Lepisosteus oculatus: one gene and its partners. The protein of the gene in region 1 interacts with the protein of each later gene in a pairwise test. Links are inferred from orthologs where the notes say so. Each region holds a gene or a part of one and is shown in the gene's direction. Other genes may lie near its edges.

Region 1 (7,226 bases):
GGTAAATGGAACCATGAATTCTGCTGTCTACCAAAAAATCCTGAGGGAGAATGTCCGGCCATCTGTTCGTGACCTCAAGCTTAAGCGCACTCGGGTTCTGCAGCAGCACGATGATCCAAAACACACCAGCAAGTCCACCTCTGAATGGCTTAAGAAAACAAAATGAAGACTTTGGAGTGGCCTAGTCAAAGTCCTGACCTGAATCTGATTGAGATGTTGTGGCATGACCTTAAAAAAGCGGTTAAGGCTCGAAAACCCTCCAATGTGGCTGAATTACAACAATTCTGCAAAGATGAGTGGGCCAAAATTCCTCCACAGCACTGTAAAAGACTCATTGCCAGTTATTGCAAACGCTTGATTGCAGTTGTTGCTGCTAAGGGTGGCCCAACCAGTTATTAGGTTTAGGGGGCAATCACTTTTTCAGACAGGGCCATGTAGGTTTGAATTTTTTTTCCCCTTAATAATAAAAACCTTCATTTAAAAACTGCATTTTGTGTTTACTTGTGTTATCTTTGTCTAATATTTCAATTTGTTTGATGATCTTTCAGTGGGAACATTTCAGTGGGAAAAAACACTTTTTCACACCACTGTATGTGTATAATATATTTAAGGATCAAATACATGTAGATAATGTAATGACTTCAGGTTCACTCAGGATAAATGACAAGAGGAGACGGTGTAGGCACACAAGCACCTGCTTTTATTTCCTTTTACACAACAAAGACAAAAATACAGGATTTACATACAGATTAGGGGACAGACGGTACATGTTAGGGTGGTAACTGTTTAACTGACTCTACAAACTTAACTTATGGAACACTAAGCTTCAGAGAACACGTTAGCTAACGCAGGTCTATTCACATAGCAGGGTCAGTTGCTGGTCATCTTATGGACCCCCAGACATCCCCTGGCTACAACTCCCAGCTGGTGAGGCAATACCCTCAGCAACTTGGTGCACTTCCTCCTCACCACCGGGCAAGGGCGCTACACTTCCCCCACTTGACTCATACCAGGCTGTACTCATAGTCAGCTAATGGCTGTGGAACCCTGTGTGAGCGGCCGCTGCACCGCAGAGCGGATTCCCCATAGTCAGCCTCCCTGCCGACCTAGTAGGGTACCAGGTGGTCTCGGTGTAGGACCACCACTCTCCCCCGCTTTCGCAACCGGACACGGTGACAAACCTTGCCCACTACCCCTAGGATCTCAGCGGGTCACTCCCAGGACAGTGCCACCCCGGACTGGAAGGCAGGCCCCCTGCAGAGCAGATCGTAGTGCCACTTTTGCCAGATCCCTGCCTGAGTCAGGTGAGTTCGAGCAAAGCTGTGCACTCGCCACATCCACTGCTGCAGGTCCCACATCGGTCTGGCCGGCAGTGCTAGCCCATCTCAGGGCGGGGGAATCAAAGGCCAGATCACATCTCCTGGCCCAGCATGAGCGAGGCCATGGTGCACCAGGTAGATTTCTGGACCGCAGTCCGGTACGACTAGAGCACAAGGGGGAGGTGGCGGTCCCATTCCTACTGATGCTGGGACACCAGGGTGACCAGCTGGGTGGCAAGCATCCAGTTGAACCGCTCCAGCAGCACATCACTCTGGGGATGCAGTGGGGTGGTCTGTGTCATAGAGATCCCCAGGTGCTGGCACACCCTGGCAAAGACCTAGGACTAGGAAAGTTACACCCCTGGTCACTGTATAACTCCTCTGGTACCCCCAGCCTGGCAAACATCCCTCCAGTGAAACATCGGCAACCGTAGGGGCACTTTGGTCTGGGAAGGCATAGGCCTTAGGCCTCTTGGTGAATAGTCCACTTTCACCAGGACGTAGCAGTTCTCGCACTCAGTGCATGGAAACGGGCCCAAAATATCCACCCCTACTCGCTTTATCGGAGCCCCCACCTGGTGTTGTTGGAGGGGGGCCCCCACTTGCTGCAGCAGGTCCAACCCCAGGATGCAGTCCTCTTGAATGGGTGCTAGGTAGCAAGGGGGGCACACTGTCGCTGCACCCAGACGGATGGAGAGTGTCTGTTTGCCCCGGATCGCGGCAAGCTGTCCTGTCATGGTCCTCAGCCGCAGGTCGGTGGCCTCCCATCCTGGGGGATTGGTGCCCTCGGTGTCGGGGAAGATGCCAGGCCGGGGTAGGGTTACCGATGAACTGGTGTAAAGCAGGGCCAGGCAGTGCTGGTCCTCGATCTGGCAGTGGAGGTACAGGCCCCAGCTTCATTCTACATGCCCCATGGTGGTGTACGGGGCACCAGTCTTCGCGGTGCTCTCTGAATCGGGGGTTGAGGTCTTCAGGGGTGGCCGTCCCTATGCTGAGCTATCCTGCTCCCATTTCCTGACGCCGACCTCGGAGTGCAAAGCTCTGGGGCCCGGTGTCCCCTCTTCACACAGTATCGACAAAACAGCTGCGGGGCTGCTCTGCGGGGGTTACTGCACGAGCTGGCTCCTCTTCCCCCTCACTGGACTCCTCTGTCGCTGCCTCGGTAAGCCAGCAGGGCACACTCCATCTGCTGGTGCTGCCAGCCCCACCGAACACGGCCAGCTGTAAGTGGGGCTGCAGCTTTTCGGGTAAGAGGGCCTTGAGAAAGGCCTGGAGAGCCATTTCCAGCTGCGTCTCCCGGGGGAATGCTGGGTATCCTCGGCAGGTGAGGAAGAAGACATCAGCTACGACCGAGCCCACTTGCTTTCCCAGTCAGCGCCGCCACAGGGTCAGCCTCTCCTGTATCAGGTCCGGTGCCTCCTCCACCCCGAAGCGTAGCTGGAGAGCGTTGCATAGTCAACCCCCCTCCTTCTCTGGGAAATCCAGGAGCACCTGGCAGGCTGCTCTTTCCAGCGCCGCCGCCAGCTCCGTCTCGGCCCGCAAGCTGGAACTGTGCCTCATACGTCTCCCATGACGCTTCCCCATCAAAGCGACTGGGTTGTACCCACACCGGAAGGTGCAGGAACAGCTGGCCAGCCCCTGAGGAAAGCGCATCCCCTCTCTGCAGTGTCTGCTGGACAGGAGTAGTGGGGATTCACTCCGCTTCCCCAGGCGGGGCCACTACTGGGCAGCCCTTGCAAGGGCTGTGGCCAACCGTTGCACCCAGGAGTTGCTCAGGCTCCAGGTGTTCGCTGATGCTGGGTCCGGTCTCTTTTAGGGTCTGCTGGCGCTTGACAGAGTCTGCTTACATCTGCCACGGGTTGTCCATCCTGCTCGCTTCTGACACCAATTGTAACGACTACAGGTTCACTCAGGATAAAGGACAAGAGGAGATGGTGTAGGCACACAAGCACCTACTTTTATTTTTTTTTCACAATAAAAACCAAAAACTAGGATTTACACACACACATTAGGGGACTGATGGTACACATACACAGGTTAGGGTGGTAACTCTTTAACGGACTCTACACAATTAACTTATGGAACACTAAACTTCAGAGAACACTTTAGTTAACACATGTCTATTTAAATAGCAGGATCATTTGCTGGTCATCTTACGACAATTCCCGGCTACAGCTCCCAGCCAGTGCTGTGATATCCTCAGTAACTGGGAGCACTTCCTCCTCACCACCGGGCGAGGCTGCCACAATAATAACTATTGCAGTACTGTTATGTACTGTACACTAATAATTCAAGGTACTGTGATTGTTTCACTTGATCCAGCAGCATGAATGAATAGCTCTTATATTTACTGGGGGGTTGTGCATTGTAGGTTTAGGACTAAACCGGGGCATTCTTTTGCTCTTCAGCCTGCTTACCACTACAGAAACCCTGAGTAAGTTCTGGCCCTATAGAACACTTACTTTTGTGAAGGTTTGAATAAAACAAAGGTTATCTGATTAGCATTGTTTTGCAATGCATTCGTTTTGCATCCAACTGCGTTTTGCAATGCGATGAAACCAAGCACTGTGTGCAAATAATTGTTAGAGTTCATACATCACTGTTTTGAATATATGTCAGTTTTACTAATAGATGACCTTCATTGTAATTATTTTTCCCGGTTATTTTTAATGTCGTTGAGTCGTGTTTTTAACGTAGTCTAAATGGTTGTTCACGAAAGACGACTAGTTATAGCTTTCATTATTCTGAATATTACGAATGGTGTATTCTTTGCTCATAATTCTCCATTACTAATTAACTTTTGAGTCTTTAACAACCTGACATTTACATTTATGAAGGGGATAGGACTTCCATCCTTCCCTCTTCGGAGAGTAGAGCAGCTTATGCGCCAGCTCTGTCGCCTTTGCTTTTCCTTTTGCATGGGTGGGAGGAGCCGGTTTCCTGCGATTGTCTGTCTCTTTTTTTTTCTCTGAAGTTGCATATTCAAAACCTTAGCCTTTTCACTGAGCAGCCAGTGTTTGTGCTGCTAACCAGCAGATCAGCAGTCAGATTTGTTCTTGCTACGCCACACGGAGACTGCGTTTGTGTTGCTTTCCTTCCTGGCTAGGAGCTCTCCTTCACTGCGTTTTTCTCCAGGCTTCAAAGATGACAGGGGAAAGGATTGTTTGGCATAGTAAGCTGGTAGGTGACTGTTAGCCCTCCCTTCAGTGTGTGTCTCTTCTTAGTGTTTCTGGTTCGTGTCAACACTCTTTTCCTGAGAAAAGCCAAGAGAGAGTGAAGCAAAGCCAGACGTTTAGATGACTGCGTAACCAGTGAAAGAGTATACCAAATACTGGAGCAATTCAAAGCATATTTCGGTTCTGATAATATACGAGGAAAATAATCATATATTATGTACTATATATACGATATATAGCATGTACTATAAAAATGCCAAGCATTGCTTGATTACCTGAAGACAGACTTACATTTACTGAACTTTTTCTTTCATTCTGTAATGCATTCTGTCGATAATTTTCTAGATTTTGGGTGTCTATAGGACTGGTAACAATGTAAATTATTTTTTGGGTTGGTTTGCAATGTCTTTTTCCTTAGCGATGTTTAATGTTTAGCACTTCTAAATGTTAACATTTAACTGCACGAAAATAGAATTATAGTAACTTGTTCACGTTTATAAATAATAACTGAAAAAAACTGCTGGGTGTAGGTGGGTTTTAAGGCAAATGCACGGCTTTATCATGAGACGAGGTGATTGTGTTGGTGTAGATTTTCTGTAATCGCCTGTACGCCCAGATGTGTTCCACCTTTGTGCCTCTGAGAAATTGTAGTATCAAAGCTACGGTTTTTGAAAATGATGTCGCTGGTGTTTTGTTCACTTCATTATAAAGGTAATGGCAAAGGATACATATATTTATTTCCTCCCAGAAAAGACTTGCAGATTTCTGTCAGTGATTACACCGATGTAAAGTAAATTATATAAACATACAGTATCAGTGTTTTCGTGTGACAATTACAATAATGGCTGTATGATATTGTGAACATTTTATATTTAGCATTCACTCTTGACGCGGTCTCGGTTTTCATATTTTTCCTTTTAAAACACCCTTTAGATTTTATGTAATTAATTTTTATTTAATAATCGAATAACGTTATAAGACGGCAATGATCTTGTTAACATTTGTGGTAAAATAAATTGGTTCATTTTGTTCCCGTAACAAGTTTCTGGAGGTTAAGTGTTTAATTGTTAAGGACTTTAATAAAGATTAAACATTAAGAAAAATCAGTACTTGAATTAGTTCATCATGATCAACTTGAGATCGAAACATTTTAAACGAGTGACATACTAAAACGAATAACAAAATTGAATGACCATAGACTATAATGGGGAAAAAATAATTTAATAGGCTATAAGCCTTAACAGAAATAAAACCATGATTATCTTTGCTATTAAGTATTCCAATACTTAGAAAATCCTAACTAAATAAAAAATTGATTGATTGATTGTTCTTTTCTAATGAATGACAAGGGAAACAAAAAAACATGAAAAAGTTAACCTTTTGAATAAAAAAATCATATACAGAAAAAAATAATATTCTTACTCAAATTGCATGTTCATAAATATATTTTCTATGAAATATCCTAATGTAGAAATAGTTATTTTCTATGGAATGATGGGTATTTAAAAAATATGTGTAAATGGAGATGGAAACAATGCTGAAAATATCTGGAACCATCCAGATTCTGAATTCCATTAATATTAATTTTTTGAAACAAATGTTTCTTGAATAAGAAGACCTTTATTTTTTATTTAAAAATTTAAAGCTATTAATGACATAATGGTTACTACCGAGTGCCTGTTTTTTTCTGTGCAATAAATTATTCCAACAAGGAAGATAAAGGTCTGTCCAAATAATAAGACTTATATAACAAAAGACATTAACATGCCACAAATATGAGGAAGCTTGCTTTTAAGAATAAAGATGTTGATGAAATAAAACAAGACTAAAAAATAACAAATGGAGAATCTTAGGCAAAGCACGCATTTAAGCAGCATTTGGAGGATGTTTTTTTTTTAAAGCTAATAGCTGTAGAAGACTCTGGGAAAGAGTATGGCAGGAATGTCTGCACTCAGGAAGCTGATTGTGAATAGTAAGTTATGAATGCTTTTCTGTCAGGGTGTCTCGGAGCAGGTAGTTGTCCGAGGATCCTATGCATAGCTGTGAGCTCTGCCGGTTTAAGAGGTAAACAATCCAAAATCGTAATCCAAAAAGTGAGATCAAAAGGGAAAAGTCAAATCCAAAAGCCGAGTAAGCCAACAAGAAAATACCGTGCACTAGAAAACTTAAGAGGCCTTACAATAGTGAGCGGGGTTTGGTGAAGGAACTTTAAATACTGAAGGGAGAGGAACATGGTTGTGTAATGGGTTCAGGAGTGAGAATCTGTGGAATCTGGTGCCTGTGAGAATGTGATTGGTTCAGTTAGGAGTGAGAGCATGAAACAGTGCGTTTGGGAATGTAGTGGGGTTTGCGAGGGCGAGTGCGGGATGTGACAGTATCCCCTTTTAGGGTCGGCTCCTGATGACCCCATTGAGCGTTCATGGAAGAAGTCATCAATGAGGCCATGATCCAAAATATCTCCCTCGTAAACCCATGAACGCTCCTCAGGGCTATAGCCCTCCCAGTCGACAAGAAACTGCCCTCGGCCCCGGAGCCAGTGGGTATCCAGGATCTTGTTAACTGTGTAAGAACGTAGGCCGTCAATGATTTGTGGAGGAGGTCGAGGTTGGGAGAGGGGAGATCTGTGGTAGGGTTTCAAGAGAGAAACGTGGAAGGAGGGATGCACCCTGACAGTTGGAGGGAGGGCAAGACGATAGGTGACAGGGGTGATCTGGGAAAGGATGTGGAAGGG
Region 2 (7,637 bases), on another chromosome or scaffold:
AGTACGTGATAACTCAGGTCTAGCCTTGCTTCTGAGCTGGTCAGAATGTACTTGAATAAGCCGTTATGCCCTGATGACAGATTCAAAGCTTTTAAATCCAAAAGACATGATCCACGCCCGTGTTTGAGAAACTCAGAATGCCTTCAGCTGTGCTGTTTTTTAGTGTGCTGCATAGTTGGTCTTGCAGATTAGTAAAAAGGAAGCAGGCTGAGGAACTTGGAGAGCTGACATTTTAAAAAAATGGCACTCTCAAATTAACCTGAAGTTTGCCACTGGCACTCTTCTGATGAGCAAGGGAGAAACGTTAACAGATAATCATGTCTATGATAGTAGCAGTTAGCATTATAAGTGGTATATTTAAACAAGTATCTGAAACAGAAAGTCATGCTCTGTGCCTTCAGCAACCCTAGTTTTAAAATGATGAATAGTCATTCTGTATTCTAGTTTGCTGGTATGAATCACTGAATCACCCGGTCATGTGCTGACAGCAAAAAGGCTCTCAAGACCAATATCAGTCTCTCCTCCCACTGTCAGCATCAAGAGGCCCATTGTGGGAGTCTGGCTGACGGCTGGCCAGAGAGAGCAATTCCACAAGATGAGCGAACCTCTCCCAGCTTCTTCTGTTGTGTCTGAAGTTCTCCTCGATGGTCCCTCAGCCTCATGATTGTGCTGTTTTCCCTTCTGCCTTCAAGGAGTTAATAGCAGATCAACCATTTCCAGTGAGTCACGTTGTGCAAGTAACTCATAGGCCTGTATCTGGGTGCAACTTCAGACTTCAACTGAAACAGGCATTCTAATGCTGTGATAAAGCTTTCTAAGAGAGGGACAAACACATTTTCTGTTCAGTACTATAAGCTGTGCATTTGCACTTTCCTTGAGTATCAGCTATAAGGCTCAGTCTGGTGTGGTTCATGTGCATTTAAACTGAAGTTCCTTTACAGTGAAGAAATAGCAGCTGAAGTCCCATGTGTTTCAGTTAAGTTTTGGTAAGAAGAGCCACCTGGAGGAAAGTTGGCCACATGGGGCAAATGGGATGACCGCAGTAACCAAACTCTTCTGACCTCTGGCATCTGGCCTCTGACCTGAGTGGGATTTGAACCCATGCCTCCAGGGATTATCCACAGAAGGCTGATAAACAGCAAAATGCTCCTAGGAGCAAAGCTGACTGGACTGGAATTTCAGTTAATTCCATTCAGTTGTTCCTCTTGGAGAACAGAATTTAGGACAAAAAACATATTAACTGCAGGTTCCTCTAGCTGAATCTTCACTGAACACTGAGAAAATATGGCGTCCTTATTCTCCCATACAAGAAACTGGCCTCTTTTGGTGAACATGTCTAAAGCTACTGCTTGAGCAGACAAAGGGTTAAAATGTTTAGGACTGAGGCCCACAAACAGGAACTCTGTTTTCAAGACAGTTCTGGAAATTCCCCAGTTGCAAATGTTGCAGTGTGGGGGACCTGCACAACACACACTGATGGAGCAGCATGGAGTTTGAATCTTAATTCAGAATTTGAGACAGAAAATAGACAATCGTTCTATAACGCATTGTTGCTTGACCTAGCTCATTTCTCTCTAGAAATGTCCTTTTCCTTAAAATGTTTCCACACCAGTAGAAACTATAGTATGTGTAAGCAGTGCACAGAGCATTGCTCATTGCGCATTTAAAATCAAGTGCAGCCAGCCTGCCTTCAGAACGAACTACCCAGCCGTGTGGTTGAAGCTATTATCTTGGCTTCTTTCAGGATCCTTGGACTGATTAGATCAGCCAAATTGCCTCTTGTCATCTGTAACCTTCTTTTTGTGTCCTTATATTCTAATTCCTTTCCAGCAATAGCAACAATACTTAGTTCCCCCTTGGGTCTGGCATTTCCCTCCACCAGCATGTATGAAACCTAAAGAGAAAAATGCAAACACATTCATGATCTGTAGCTAAGCCAGACTTCAAAGGAGACTCACCAATACTAATACATTCTTTCTGAAAGTTGCGTTACACAGATATCAGAGCCGAGAGAAATCTATAGGTGTTTATATACTGCATAAGGAAGCATTAGCGCTCTTCGATGGAGGCACATGGTACATTCGAGAGATTGCAATGCAAATTTAAAGATGATTACCAAATTATGGCTAATGCTGCAGAATTCTAGTCTAAGCAGCCTGTGTGACACGAGCAGTGTTAATGTGCCTGGCTGCAGTGGTCTGCCCATTATGTGCCACATCACGAGAGCTTCACTGGCCACATGGCGATCAAAGACTTGAAAAAAACAAAGGAAACATTCTGACTGAAGGATTCTCATGTCTGGGTTCACTCTTATTTTTATATTAAAAAATGTTTTATTTCTTTTTTTATTTGTCGACATTATGGAGATGGAACTTACAAGGGTTCTGCTACACGTCGCGTTTATTTATTTTTTTTAATTTATTTTTTTTTATAGTTGTAAGTGCAGGGTGGCAACACAAACATATACCAAAGGCAGCCGAAGCAGTTACGCCTCAGTCGCAGCAGGCTGGGATCCACTTCTGCAGAGGTGCAGCGCTCTCTGTCCCACCTTGTGTTACTGGTGGCTTCATTGAGCAAATGTTTTATTGAACTGGCTGCATGTTGTCTTCCTCAAGCAGGTGCTGGGTTCAAGAGGCCCAGCAGGATCCAGTCCTCTGTGCCTGTGAGTCCTCATAATGTCAAAGCCCAGCTATCTCGACTGCAGCTAAGTCCAGTTTTGTGAAGGATTTTTGACAGAAGCTGTTTTCAGGACAGTGTTATTGTGTCTGTTTTGTGCATTCCAGTTTAGGCTGGGTTTTACATTTTGTTTTGCCAGCTGTTGAGAAAAAATGTCTGGGCACTTTCTGTTTAATAATGCATATGTATTTATGTATAGGAGCATTGCACATTTAAAAAAACCCATAATAAATGCATTCCAAAAGCCACATTCCCTTTGTCTTAATTTACAGAATTTTGCTTGGGGGCAGTATCGCAATGTTTGCTTTCTGAGTACATGTTAAAAGCATTACACAATAACAAGCACCGTGCAATGTTCTCTGGGGATTTCTACATCTCCTTCCATGTATGAGCACTAGCTGTGGTGGCAAGCCCATGAGTTCTCTGAGGTTAACTCAGCTGGGCTGCACCCAGGAAGCTGTGGCAGTGCCCTTCTGTAGGAACTCGTGATTCGACTGGTCTGTCTTTACCAGATTGGACTGCTATTACTGAACTGAACTAGACTCTCTTGACTGGATTGTCATTATTGGGCTGTAGTTGTCACTAGATCTTGAATGCAATGCACTGTATTACTAGATTGGACTGAAATTACCACACTGAAGTGGACTGTCTGTACACACTAGACTGTGTTGACTGGACTATCATTACTGTACTGTCATTACTGGATTGGCTTGCAATTAGCACATTGAACTGCACTATCATTATGCACTAGACTGACTTGACCAGACTGTCATTAATGGAGTGTATGGTCATTACTAGATTGGACTGTCTTAAATACACTGGACTGGATTACTGGATTGGACTGTAATTACCACACAGACCTGGACAGTCATTATGCGCTACACAAGGGGTGGACAGACCTGGTCCTGGAGGACTGGTGTGTCTGCATGTTTTCCAGGTCTCTCTAAAGCAGCAGCATCTTAAGAGCTGGGAGCAGTTGGTAGAATGGTCCAGTAATGAGCCAGTATTGAGCTGATTTAGGTTGTTAAGAGATGAGGCTGGAATGAAAACCTGCAAATGCACTGGCCCAGTAGGAGCAAGAGTGCCCAGTCATGCATGGGTCTTCCTTGACTGGACTGACATCACTGCACTGGAAAGTCTTCACTTGACTGGACTGACATCACTGCACTGAGGGGAAAGTGGACTGAGTATCCAGTCAGACAGCTCTGAAGGGGCAGGAAGGTGATGGACAGTTGTCTGTGACGCTGCTGGAGAGCTCGGCATGTTCGTTGTCATGTCTCCCTTGTTGTGTCTCTCTACACAGGAGTCGCCTGAGGAACAGGGGCAATGGGGTGAAAAAGGAGTCACCTGTATATGTGATTTCTTCAAGCCAGGGGAGGCTGCATGCAAAGTGTTTGTTCAGCTGATAAGAAGTAACACAATTGCATTGAAATGCTATTGTTTTCTTATTGTTTGTTTCTTGGGGACTAGTATAACATCAGTTAAATGAGCTTCATTATGGCCAAGCGCATTTAAAATTGAGAATGAGGGGCACTGTTTTACACCAAGGGTTGTGGGGGTCTGGAACAAGGTGCCCAGCCATGTTGGTGAAGCTGGTTTTCATCAAAAAACCTGCAGGAAGTGAACCCCGGTTCAGTGAGCTCCAGGAAGAAAACACGCTCCATGGGTTCTTAGAAACCGAAGAGCATTTACTGCAACTTTGTTCAAAGGTAAGACAAATTACACTCCGGTCATGAAATGTTGGGTTTTTTTTTAATCCCTGCTCAGTCAGTGTGGGGTTTTGTGCCATTTAATAGGATGCATGGTTTAAAATTCATCCTCATCCACAGCCCGATTCGATTTTTATTAACCATGTCTCCTATTTACACCAGGAGTCGCTGTAGGACTGCTCCGTCTGAAGTCTCCATTTATTTCTTAAAGCAGCCTGTTGTTTTTTCAGCGGATTAGAGAATTGTCGCTCAGGGGTACTTTAACGTCTTGTATGCTTTCCAGTAAAAAATATATTCTTGTATTAACTTACAATTAGGGTACGGTATGAGAATTATATATGTACAAATGCTATGCACAACGCACATTCCAAGTTGATTTTATAATCGGCATTCTGTTCATGCTATTGATTTTTGGAGCGCTGCAAATGATGTGAATGGTGGTTGGTTGTATAGTCTGGTGGTATAGGCGTAGCTGGTAAGCAGGCGGATTTGGAAAAAATGTACGCGATCTGTCCTGACGGGTGAGTATTAATCGATACGACTGATTGATCAATTCAGGCATTAATTCGTTGGAATAACAAAACCTTAGCTGTGTGGGGTATGCAGAAGTGTAAACTGGACATTAAGTTAACATCGCCGTCAAAAACTTCTGCGTGCCGGGGTTTAGGTCGGTCAGCTCCTCTCGTAGCGACCGGGACGGCTCGGGGGAAATAGTTTCCATGACAACGAACTTTTGGCCCCCGCGGCGAGGACCGAGCAGTCCAACCTACAGCCCCTTAGCAAACGAGCAAGCGTGCACCCCATTTCTGCACCACCGGCACCCCACTCCCCCGCACCTACAGTCAGCTTGGGAAGCCAGCAGAGCGAACCCCAGTCCGGACTCACTGTGGCACACAGGATATTAGGGTGCTCTGTCACTCAGGCAGCCAGCGAATGAAGCCCCACTCCCAGTCAAGGAGAAAGCAGCTGAAAGGTCACAGCTAAGACTGGGTCAAAATGCCCAGTGTTAAATAAAACCATGTAATAAGGCCTGCATGTTTTCAACATTGCCTGTGTTCCAGCAACTTGAATGAATCATAAAGCGAACATGGCAGAACAAGGGGCAGGCGGGGGGAAGGATTTGTGTGTGAGCGCAGTGCTGGAGAAAGTGCTTCAGTTGCGAGGACTGGGCAAGGCTGGAGCAGGCAGGAGCCGGAGCCGGGGAGAGAGAGAGAGAGGCTTGTGGGTGGGGATGGGGATGGAGGAGAGAGGAGGGGGAGGGAGGGAGAGAGAGGGAAAGGAGGGGGGGGGTAGGGGAGGTGTGTGTGTGTTGGGGGGGCTTGTCACTCTTGGAATGGATTGTGTAAGGATGGAGAGGTGCTCCCGGGCTGAGGAGAGATAAATCACTCTCACGAGTCGCGACAGGCGCTTGCTGTTGTTGGTGCTTTTATTTTCCCTCTCTTTCTGAGGACAAGGTAGGGAGCAGAGGAGCAGCATGGTGTCCTGGACAGGCTCTGGGGTGACGGGGAGCGACTGAAGCGACGATGTCGTACATCCAGGTAGGTCTGGACCACCACACGCCGGCGCCTCAGAGTCACCTGGCTCCATCCGGCTGGCGCTGGGACCATTTCCCTCGTGCTCCCTCGCTCGCTCAGCCTTTAACCCAGCCACTCCTCACCTGCTGTGTCTGTTTCCGTAGTGCCCTCGCCCCCCAAAAGGCGCCGTTTTTTCGGCAGGGTTTAGGGGAAAAAAAAAAACCTCCTCCCTTCCCAGTCGGCTTCCCTTTCGCAGGTTTCATTCCAAATGCGGTTTGGTAGCAAAACAAGCCCACAGGAGGGGCGACACTGCTATAGCCCTGCCTGTTGTCGTTAGTGTGCCGGTGCTCCTGAGTGAAAAGCAGAGGGAGCTCCGTTGTGTTTGCTGAGGAATTGATCTGCCTGCTTGCTGTTGTTTGTTTTGCTGCTGGCACTTTGCGATGGGTGATTTTTTAATTGCCCTGTTATGATCGAGGTACGTTTCTGCATGCATGTCAGCGTCTCCATCCTGGTCATTATCTCCCCCATCTCGGCACAGCTGTAATCAATATCATACAGCAGAGGCAACACTGAGAAGGTCTGCGTTGCGGCGCCGTGGGTCGGGGAATTGCCAACAGGTTGCAGCATTGTTGGCTTGAGTTGTTTTCCAAGTGCAGGAAAACATCCGTTTCCCGCTGACAGAAGCACTGCAGGGCCTCTCCATTTTCCCGTTGTGTACAAGGTTGTTTGTGTGTGTGTATGTGTGTGCACCCCAGTCTGGGTGAATTGAAGGCAGCGTGCTTTTTAAATTTTCACCATCTCCTCTGTCTGCTTGCCTGGTTAGAAAGGGGGACAGGAGCTGTCTGCCCTGTTTGATGCTGTTTTGTGGCTCTTGTGTCGTGCCTGGCTCGGTGAGCTGCTGTGCTGCCTGACCAGGCGGCCCTGGCCGGTCCCTGACGGAGCCTGTTTCTGTCACTCTGACCCCTTGTTTTATCAGCCCTGATAGAGCAGTAGGGGATGTCAGCGTTCCAGCTGGTGTTACTGTGGTTACCGTGGTTACTGCTACAGCTAATTGTAAAGACAACATTGGGACGGGGCTGTGGAGGCTGTGTGCCGTGAGCCCAGACTTGTCGGGGGGGGGAATGGGGAGGGTGATGAGAGAGAGAGAGGAGACGTACACAGGGACACAGGAAAATAAAACACTGCCACATGTAGCTCTTCGTCTGCTGGGGATAGTGAAAATGTTACAGCCTAAATAAATACATTATAGTGCCAGCTAATATGAGAACTGTAGCCACTTAACTTTACATGCACTCCGCAGGTAGAACTGCTGCGGCATCTGTCCTAAATATAAAAGGTATTATTTTTTATACAGAAGCCCAAGAAAATCTAATTTTAGAGCGCCTTAAGACTTTCAGTTTGTATTTAAATGTTTGTTTCAAAAGGGGTTTCATGGTAAATTGAGTATCATGCTTTATATCATAACGATTTGGACTGAAGGGTTGATGGGACAATTGGCGCTGATCTAGAAGACTCGTTTTTCCAAGCAAGGCTTGAAAATCATGGGGGAAATTGAAAGAGAAACTCGCTGGCAAGGAAACAGATCCTGCTGCAGTATCGGCTCTCACTGGTATTCAGGCCCGAAAGGTGAGGTGTACGGCGTCACATGTGGGCACAGCCAGCAGGACCGGTCAGCATGAGGACAGCACGGGTACGACAACAGTGTCATGTGGAGGGGTGATGGGAGGCGCAGGGCGTG
Region 3 (7,883 bases), on another chromosome or scaffold:
CTCCACTGACCCTAGTGCAGCGAGGAAGCAGCCCTGCGGTAGGTAAGGCATTGCCTTAATCTTCCTTGCATAAAACTTTTTTATTTACCTTTGAATCCAGTGGGATTTCTTCTTTTATGTTCCAGCTGAAATCCTAATGAAATGTGCATTTCTGAATTTGTATTTTATTAGCCACAAAAGGTATCAGTTATGACTTGTGTCACTAATGTCGCTCTTCCATTAAAACTTAATTTGTCCTGCATTCATTCAGTTAACACTGAGCATTGTTTAGTTAGCTGCATCCAAATTCTACAACAATATGTTATTTAATTCCTTTCAACACAGCCTCCCAGTGTTCACCAGAGCTCCAACTGCAATGTAAAAATTAACCAGGTGTAAACTTCAAAGGAGAGATAAAGGTATGCTCTCCTGCACCACTGCAACCAAAAACACACTTGGTGGATGCCTAAAATGTGTATTATGTGATTATCACACTAGATAAGTGCAAGTATAGTATATGTGAGAATTCAGTATGGACTATTTCATATGTTTTATATTTTAAGGGCTCTACACTCAGCCTGCAGAGAATATTTCACCTCTAAGACTGAGCTCCAATATGATGTCTTCAAATCTATTTCACACCCATGTCCTGCTGCTGCTCTTGGAGAGAGGTGGGTGCAGATGTGAGATTCTGTTTTCTGGCGTAGATGTTCAGAAGCACTCATGCTTACGTACAGTAGATGTGTTGTCTCCACAAGCTGTCTTATTATTCTACATGATCTGGTCAGATGTCTAGAGCAAACCATGGTTCGGTTTCGGGTCTCAGTGCCTGACCTCTGGCGACACTGTTGCTGGTCAGGCTGGTTACACTGCTTACGCCCAGCTAGATAGATAGTTCCAGTACTTCGGTAGCCATTGTGTGGTTTGGGAGGAGATGCTAAACCACATTTTTGGCTACAGTATTTAAATGTCATTCATTCTGAATTGCCGGTTTGTGTTAATTCACCATTTAACAATATCAAATTGTCTTATTTTGAGTCTTCTTACTCTTCACATTATTTTGCTGATTTTAATGACCTTTTCATGCCTCTTTCTTCAGGGTGTCTCTGCAGCGCTGGTATGCTCTGTGAGGGATACTGGGACGCCCAGGGCCTTCATCACTCAGGGTTCTACTGCCCACGACTTTCTGACCCGCCAGAGCAATCTTACTGCTGTCAGTGGGGAGAACACTCCCTCAAGGACTGCTGCAACCAATCACAATTCCAGAGAACCATGAACGTCAGCCAATCAGGGCGCAGCACCTCAAAGATGGTTCACAGGTTGGTGGCGATGCTGAACTGCCATAGGCTTAGAAACCTGTTCCTGAATCATCCCTCACATTTCTTCTTATTCTCTGTGTCTTATTTCTGCTTTATAACATAGCCTATGTGTTGCTTGATGTTGGTCAAGGACGGAGAATCTTCCTGATCAAGCCTCAGCGCGTGCTGCTTGTAAAGAAAGCAAATTGAGTCACAGTTTTTAAATTTCAGCATTATTTACTTTATTTTAAATTACAGCACGTATTTTCTAGGAGAGAATTGGATATGTATTATAGTGTAGTATAAATCTGTGCAAGTGTAAACAGTGTAACAGGATCCTGTTCTGCACCAAGTACAAATCGGAGTCAGCAACAACGCAACATGTTATCCATATGAAAACAATAATAAATGTAGTGTCTGCACTGTGTTGTCACACTCATAGAATGGTGGAAAAAGCCTGCCTGTTAGATGATATATTCAAAATGCTGTTATTGCCTGAGCTAGGAGAGGAAGATAACACAATTCCTCAATAATTCATTCACAAGCTGTCTGAGTTATTCCACCAACAGATGTAATTCCTGGGGCTGAATTAATTTCCCTTCATTTGGTAAAATACTTTATGGAAGACATTGCAATTTTGTGTAATAAGCAGAAGATGTTGAAATATATCCATTCAAACTGAAATATTAATCCATAATAAAGTGTTATTATTTCTGTCTTGTTAACATTAACTTATGCTTCCTTAATATTTAATCATTTTTATTATTAAATAAAATGATTATTTTTAAATTTGTTTTAAGAGATTGAAATATCTCAGTGGGATACAAATGGGAGGCTTTATTGTAATTCTTTAAAATTGTAAAATGTATAACAATGACAAAATTTCATGTAGTATTTCTGAGCATATCTAATCATAAATATATACTACTTGTGATTATATGGTAGGTACTGAAATGTACTGAATGGATGTGAAATTGGTTCCTCTCTGCCCTCTTTTTTCTTTCTCCCATCAGCCGCCCGCTCTCTCTTGTAGCTGTTCTGCTTTATGGAGCTCTAGTCGTGTTTCTGATGGTTGTGGATTTTCTGTGGTTCTGTCGCGAGCGAGGTCTCACTGTCACGGCAGCTCTGAGAAACTACTTCACCTGCCTCAACTGGGCCACCAGCCTCAGTGCTCCTAATGGCAACCAGCCCCAGCGTTGTCATGGCAACAGGAACCCATCTCCTCCACATAGGCACAGGAACCCGCAGAGTCTTCCTTGTCTCCAAGGCAACAGGATCTGCCAGGCTTCTGACACAGGCTTCAGCAGCAACCAGAATACAGAGCTTTCTCACCTGGACCCTGAAGTGAGCAGCAAAAGGACAGAGGATGATGTGAGGTGGCCAGAGGAGTGATTACCACCCCTTGCTGCATTCTATGTACAGTATATATAAATGCAGGTACACCGGTAAAAGAAGACGTATTTTGTGAAAACAAACATATATATATATATTTCACTTGTATTTTCATTTTTACCAGACAAATTAAAACAGAAGACGAGGTTTAATCCTGCTTCTTTTTATATACATTATATACTTCAGAATTACATGCATTCAAGTGTTTTCAATGATGGTCAAAGCCATCAGGTTTACAGTCAATTCAAGTGCATCCCTCTATATTTTTTATTTAAAGACCTCAATTAGGAACCCTGTAATCAGGACATGTGTGTAGAATTGAAGTGGTACACTCACTTTCAGTAGAGAAAGTGCCAAGCTTTCACAAGAGGAGTATTATACAAAAAAGGCTCCACAGCTAAAATATTGTTTTTGATTCGTTCTTCTTTTATATTTCAGTTTGGAATTAGCCTCTATTTTTACCTATAATGTCATGTATACTCTGTTTTTTGGAAAGCTAAAATTGTATGTAACCCCTCTGCAGTAGAAATAAAACAAAAACATAATGATTATTTCTGAGTGCCTTTCAAGTAAACAGTTCTGCACAGTAGAACGTGTACACTATATCACAGCAGCAAAAAGAAAGTGGAAGAAAATTTTGTGAGATGAAGAATCGAAATACTGTAAATAATACTGTACATTAAAGGCTTTAGTGAAAAGATGGGTCGTTATGTGAGTTTAAAATGTGTTGACAGATAGTCTTCAATGCAGCTGGTGTAAAGCAGAGTTTAGAATAAGGGGTGGACTATACTAGTGCAATAAATCCTTGAAATAATCTGGAGCTAGACCTTTCAGCGCTTCATACTTTAGTTAGAAGACCTTAAACCAGTGAAATTTACAAGAACTTAAGTTTCAGGATAGTAAGTGTGTGCTGAATTAGAATTCTTTTGGTTAGATGAGCTTCTGAATTCTCAACATCCTGAAGCACATATGGCGCCGTGGGAGTACATACGACGGTTTCAGCTTGATGAAATAGAGGCATCAGCACCACACCAGCAGAGCATGGGTCTGAACTGAGCAATTTTATGCAAGTGGAAGAAAGATAAGCTTTGCGACACTCCTTATGTGCACTTCAATCAACAACGCTAAAATTCCTGAGGAATAACAACAGCCGAGAATTAAGTGTATTGTAATGTTTAACTCTTTTAGCCAGAATAGATTTGGCTCAACCCGCTTGGCAGAGGGCCAGGCTCCTGGCCACAGGACGAGGAGGTCGTGCCCCCTGCAGAACTTGGGGGGGGGAGGAGCTCACCTATATTATAGTAATATGATAATATCATGCTTGGGTGATGAAATGACATCAGGATTGATTATGAATTACTGGTAGCTGAGGCTGATTGAACTTGGCTGTCTTCATCTCTCCTAACATTTCGTTACAAACTCCATTAGTGAAGTTCCCAGTTCTGAATATTGAGTAGTGGGACAACATCAGACATCAGTGGGACAACATCAGTGGGACAACATCAGATTTAAAACATCTTCACTAATTGGCTCCAAATATGAGCCAAACCAAGGAAGAGTGGGAAAAAGATGAATGTTACTGTGATGCGGAAGAGTGCTGTATCAAAAGCTTCACTTTCATCTAGGATTAAAAGACACCCAAATTCGTTACATATTTTAACAAGGGCTGTTTCTGGGCTACATCTCAGCCAAATGTCTGACTGAAAAGGTTCGAAGAGTTTATTAATCGAGATTATAATCGAGCTTTCATCATCTGTCCCAAACGTTTTCGTGACAAAAGGGGCTTGATCCAATTTAGGATTTAAAGGACTTAAAATGGTTTAACAAGGTGTAAACTCTCAGACAAACCGGATTCTTAACACACTGAGGAATTTTACAAAGAAAGATACTGTAAGTGAACTTTAAATATAATTAAATATAGATATTTATTTACTGCTTCAACACAATTTGCATGACACTGCATAAAATCTGAAATATCCCATGCATAATACAGTTTTGCAAATGTTGGCTCTCTAGAGTGCAACTTCCAGAAAGGTAATTCAGTAAGCTTTTTTTTTCATGAAAAGAATGTACTGGAACCAGACTAGTAGAACAAAATGGTTCAGATAAACCCACTGTCCGACAGCATCTCTTTCTCGCTGCCTTCTATGGCGATGGAACGTGCAAGTAGGCGGGGTTTCGTTAGAAACGTCATCACGCCGCTCCCAGAGAACAGGAAGGAAGAGAGGTTATAGCTGTCTTGTGCTCGCTGGTTATATAGCACATAAACTGTAGAGCTCGCTATGAAATGAGGAAATAAAATCGGTTATAGAGTAGTAGAACTTTGGAGACGCCGCGTGGAGCTGTCCGAAACTCGGCGAAGGCAGCGAGATATCTTGGCAATAAACTGTGCGATCATAGAGAATGAGTGTAAACGGCAAAGACAAGGTACAACCTTATCTCGCCTGCTAGCTTCGTAAATCATTCATTATGTTTGCCGTAACTGTAGGTTTGGTTTTTACCGGTTTACACAAAAATCAGTAGACTCCGCTGTTCCGTTAGGTAAACACCCACCATGGAAACATTGTGCAGAAGCAGTCGTGTAAAATACCTCAGCTGTGTAGAACGCCTAATCTGGGTTCACTTGTTACAGACTTCGCACGTATTCAAGTGACGCCGTGACTCTAACCAAATCAATCTGTTAATTTGCCTGAGCCAACATCTATAGCTTTTATTTTGATTATCATATTTAATGGCTTTAATAACTAATGGCCATTGCCATTACTTGATTCGGTAGTTTGGTATTGGTGTCAAATATAATCCCTTAACAGAAATTGCGCTCTGGATTCCAGAGCGGCCAGTTACAGCTCCAAATCCCAGTTATACTGCTGTTGAGCCGTTGAGCAACGTATGTATCTCGAAGTGTACTGCTAACTTGCCCAGCTGCACAAATGAGTACTCTTCTGGATGTCATTTCAAATGAGATTTTGCTCCTAGTTTGTCCTTATAGCATTTGAAGGAAATGTGATCTCTTCCTCTGTTTTTAAGGGGTGGTTAATGGCTTTTTAATATATTCTTAAAGAAGTAACAGTAGAGGCCAATGAGTGGCACAGGGGAGTTTGTATGGGCTCCAAATAATCACACAGGTTTTCTTTGATTGTCCTGATTTTCTCCCTCTTCCCAAAGACGGTTCGGTTGATTGCATGTGCTGTATCTCCCAATTCCAGGAGGAGAACGAGCAGCGTTCCTTTCATTCATCCTGCTTGGAGTAGCTCTGCTGTAGTGCCAACCCCAGCATGGTGGGGTTAAGGATCTATAGGTCGTTGATGAAGCCCAGCCCTGTCTAGTCTTGTGCTGTAGGTGTCCTTTAGCAGTGCTGTCTGCTTTGTGTGTCCCAGGACCCTGCTGCCCTGCGGGAGGATGGGAACAGCCTGTTCAAGAATGGAGATTACCAGGGAGCCCTGTCCTGCTACACCAGGGCCCTTAGACTAAGTGACAGCCAGGCAGAGAGTGCTGTCCTGCACCGCAACCGGGCAGCCTGCTACCTCAAGCTGGAGGACTATTCCAAGGCAGAGGCCGATGCTACAAAAGGTACAACTTCTAAAATGAAGACTAAGCCTTTCACACGGCGCTTCTGATGTGACCAGGCCTGAAAAGCAATCATTTCTGAGCCAGCCTAGAGTCTGCGAGAGCAAATTAGTCTGTACTGACGGGTAAGCTCTGTTCTTCACTTGCTGCCTGCTTGGTCTTTTCCCTCTGGCCAGCGCTGGACGCCGACCCCGGGGATGTGAAAGCCCGGTTCCGCCGCTCACAGGCGCTGCAGAAGCTGGGGCGTTTGGACCAGGCCTTCTTGGATGTCCAGAGGTGCGCACAGATGGAGCCCAAGAACAAGGCCTTCCAGGAGTCACTGCGGCAGTTAGGAGCTCAGATCCAGCAGAAGGTATCGTGCATGGGGGTTTATCAGCCATTATGGTGCATACAAAATGTTTACACTTTATGAATTAAATTGACAAAAAAACGGGGCTGACTAATAGCTAGAGAATTAACTAGTCAAAAAACTTATAGCAGTCATCCACCAGGTGGGGCTGCACACTGGTGGTGGTGGTGGAGGGGATCCCCATTATCTGTAAAGCACTTTGAGTGGAGTGTCCAGAAAAGCACTATATAAGTGTAAGCAATTCTTATTATTACTACTCAAATAAACCCTTTAATTCACATTGTATTCCCAAATGTAAATGCTGTTGAAGGGGTATTAAGACTGAAGCTGGTATCTCTTTGCTCCTGTCTTGCTCACAGGCTCTACAGCTCTCCTCCACAGATGCTCGCGTACAGCAGATGTTCTCTCTCCTCTTGGACTCCTCCTCACAGCCTTCCGATAGGCAGAAGGTGTGGTATTGGGGGAGGTCAGAGATCACTGGGTAGAGAAATGGGACAGGTTTTTTGTGGCCTTTGCTGTTCATGTTGAAACAAAGACATCCTGATCTATTCATGAATGCATAACCTGTTTGTAATGTATAATGAAATGTTGAAATCAGTAAATGTATACTCTTAGATTCTGCCTGTTTTGGATAAATGCCTTTCTTTCACCAGAGCTATATCATACAAAGCTGCAAAGCGTCAGTTAAAAAAGGCAGCTCTTTAGTTTTATATCTTCGAAGATATATCATAAAGAGTAGTGTGGATTGAGTTGATTGAGAGCTTCAGCGGTTCAGACTGGAGGAGTTAACAAGACAACTTTTTGGTATTCTTGTCACATGAGATACTTAGGGCCAGATTTTATGTTAGACAACTAATAGCTCTCATCCTGTTTCTGCACAGGCGGCTCAGAACCTAGTCGTGCTGTCTCGGGAGGAGGCAGGTGCAGAGCAGATCTTTCGCAATGATGGTGTGAGGCTCCTGCAGAGACTGCTGGACTCTAAGCAAGAAGACACGACATTGTCAGCTCTGAGGACACTCGTAGGACTGTGCACTGGGCATCAATCCAGAGTGAGTAATAATTAATAATAATAAATTATTGCTTACACTTATATAGCACTTTTTCTGGACACTCCACTCAAAGTGCTTTACAGGTAATGGGGATCCCCTCCACCACCACCACCAGTGTGGAGCCCCACCTGGATGATGCAACGGCAGCCATAGTGCGCCAGAACGCTCACCACACATCAGCTATCAGTGGGGAGGAGGACAGAGTGATGAAGCCAGGTCAGAGATGGGGATTATTAGGAGGCCATGATT

The links.
Region 2: the proteins of mid2 (region 1) and syt17 interact in binary tests that used the Homo sapiens proteins (3 or more experiments, as listed by UniProt). The two-hybrid records come from large-scale screens. The link is inferred for Lepisosteus oculatus from reciprocal best matches to the Homo sapiens genes MID2 and SYT17.
Region 3: the proteins of mid2 (region 1) and unc45a interact in binary tests that used the Homo sapiens proteins (3 or more experiments, as listed by UniProt). The two-hybrid records come from large-scale screens. The link is inferred for Lepisosteus oculatus from reciprocal best matches to the Homo sapiens genes MID2 and UNC45A.

What each region holds. Positions count from the first base shown.
Region 1 is NC_090703.1:28,285,511-28,292,736, reverse strand, and holds the start of mid2 (probable E3 ubiquitin-protein ligase MID2), read left to right. Parts: upstream 1-4,213; 5' UTR 4,214-4,499; exon of another isoform or gene 4,500-4,503; intron 4,504-7,226. UniProt on the Homo sapiens protein: E3 ubiquitin ligase that plays a role in microtubule stabilization. Mediates the 'Lys-48'-linked polyubiquitination of LRRK2 to drive its localization to microtubules and its proteasomal degradation in neurons.
Region 2 is NC_090714.1:15,302,983-15,310,619, reverse strand, and holds the start of syt17 (synaptotagmin-17), read left to right. Parts: upstream 1-4,634; 5' UTR 4,635-4,906; intron 4,907-5,692; exon of another isoform or gene 5,693-5,839; 5' UTR 5,840-5,908; coding exon 5,909-5,923; intron 5,924-7,637. UniProt on the Homo sapiens protein: Plays a role in dendrite formation by melanocytes.
Region 3 is NC_090700.1:60,912,220-60,920,102, forward strand, and holds the start of unc45a (protein unc-45 homolog A), read left to right. Parts: upstream 1-4,880; 5' UTR 4,881-5,072; coding exon 5,073-5,096; intron 5,097-6,046; coding exon 6,047-6,239; intron 6,240-6,412; coding exon 6,413-6,588; intron 6,589-6,944; coding exon 6,945-7,034; intron 7,035-7,466; coding exon 7,467-7,634; intron 7,635-7,883.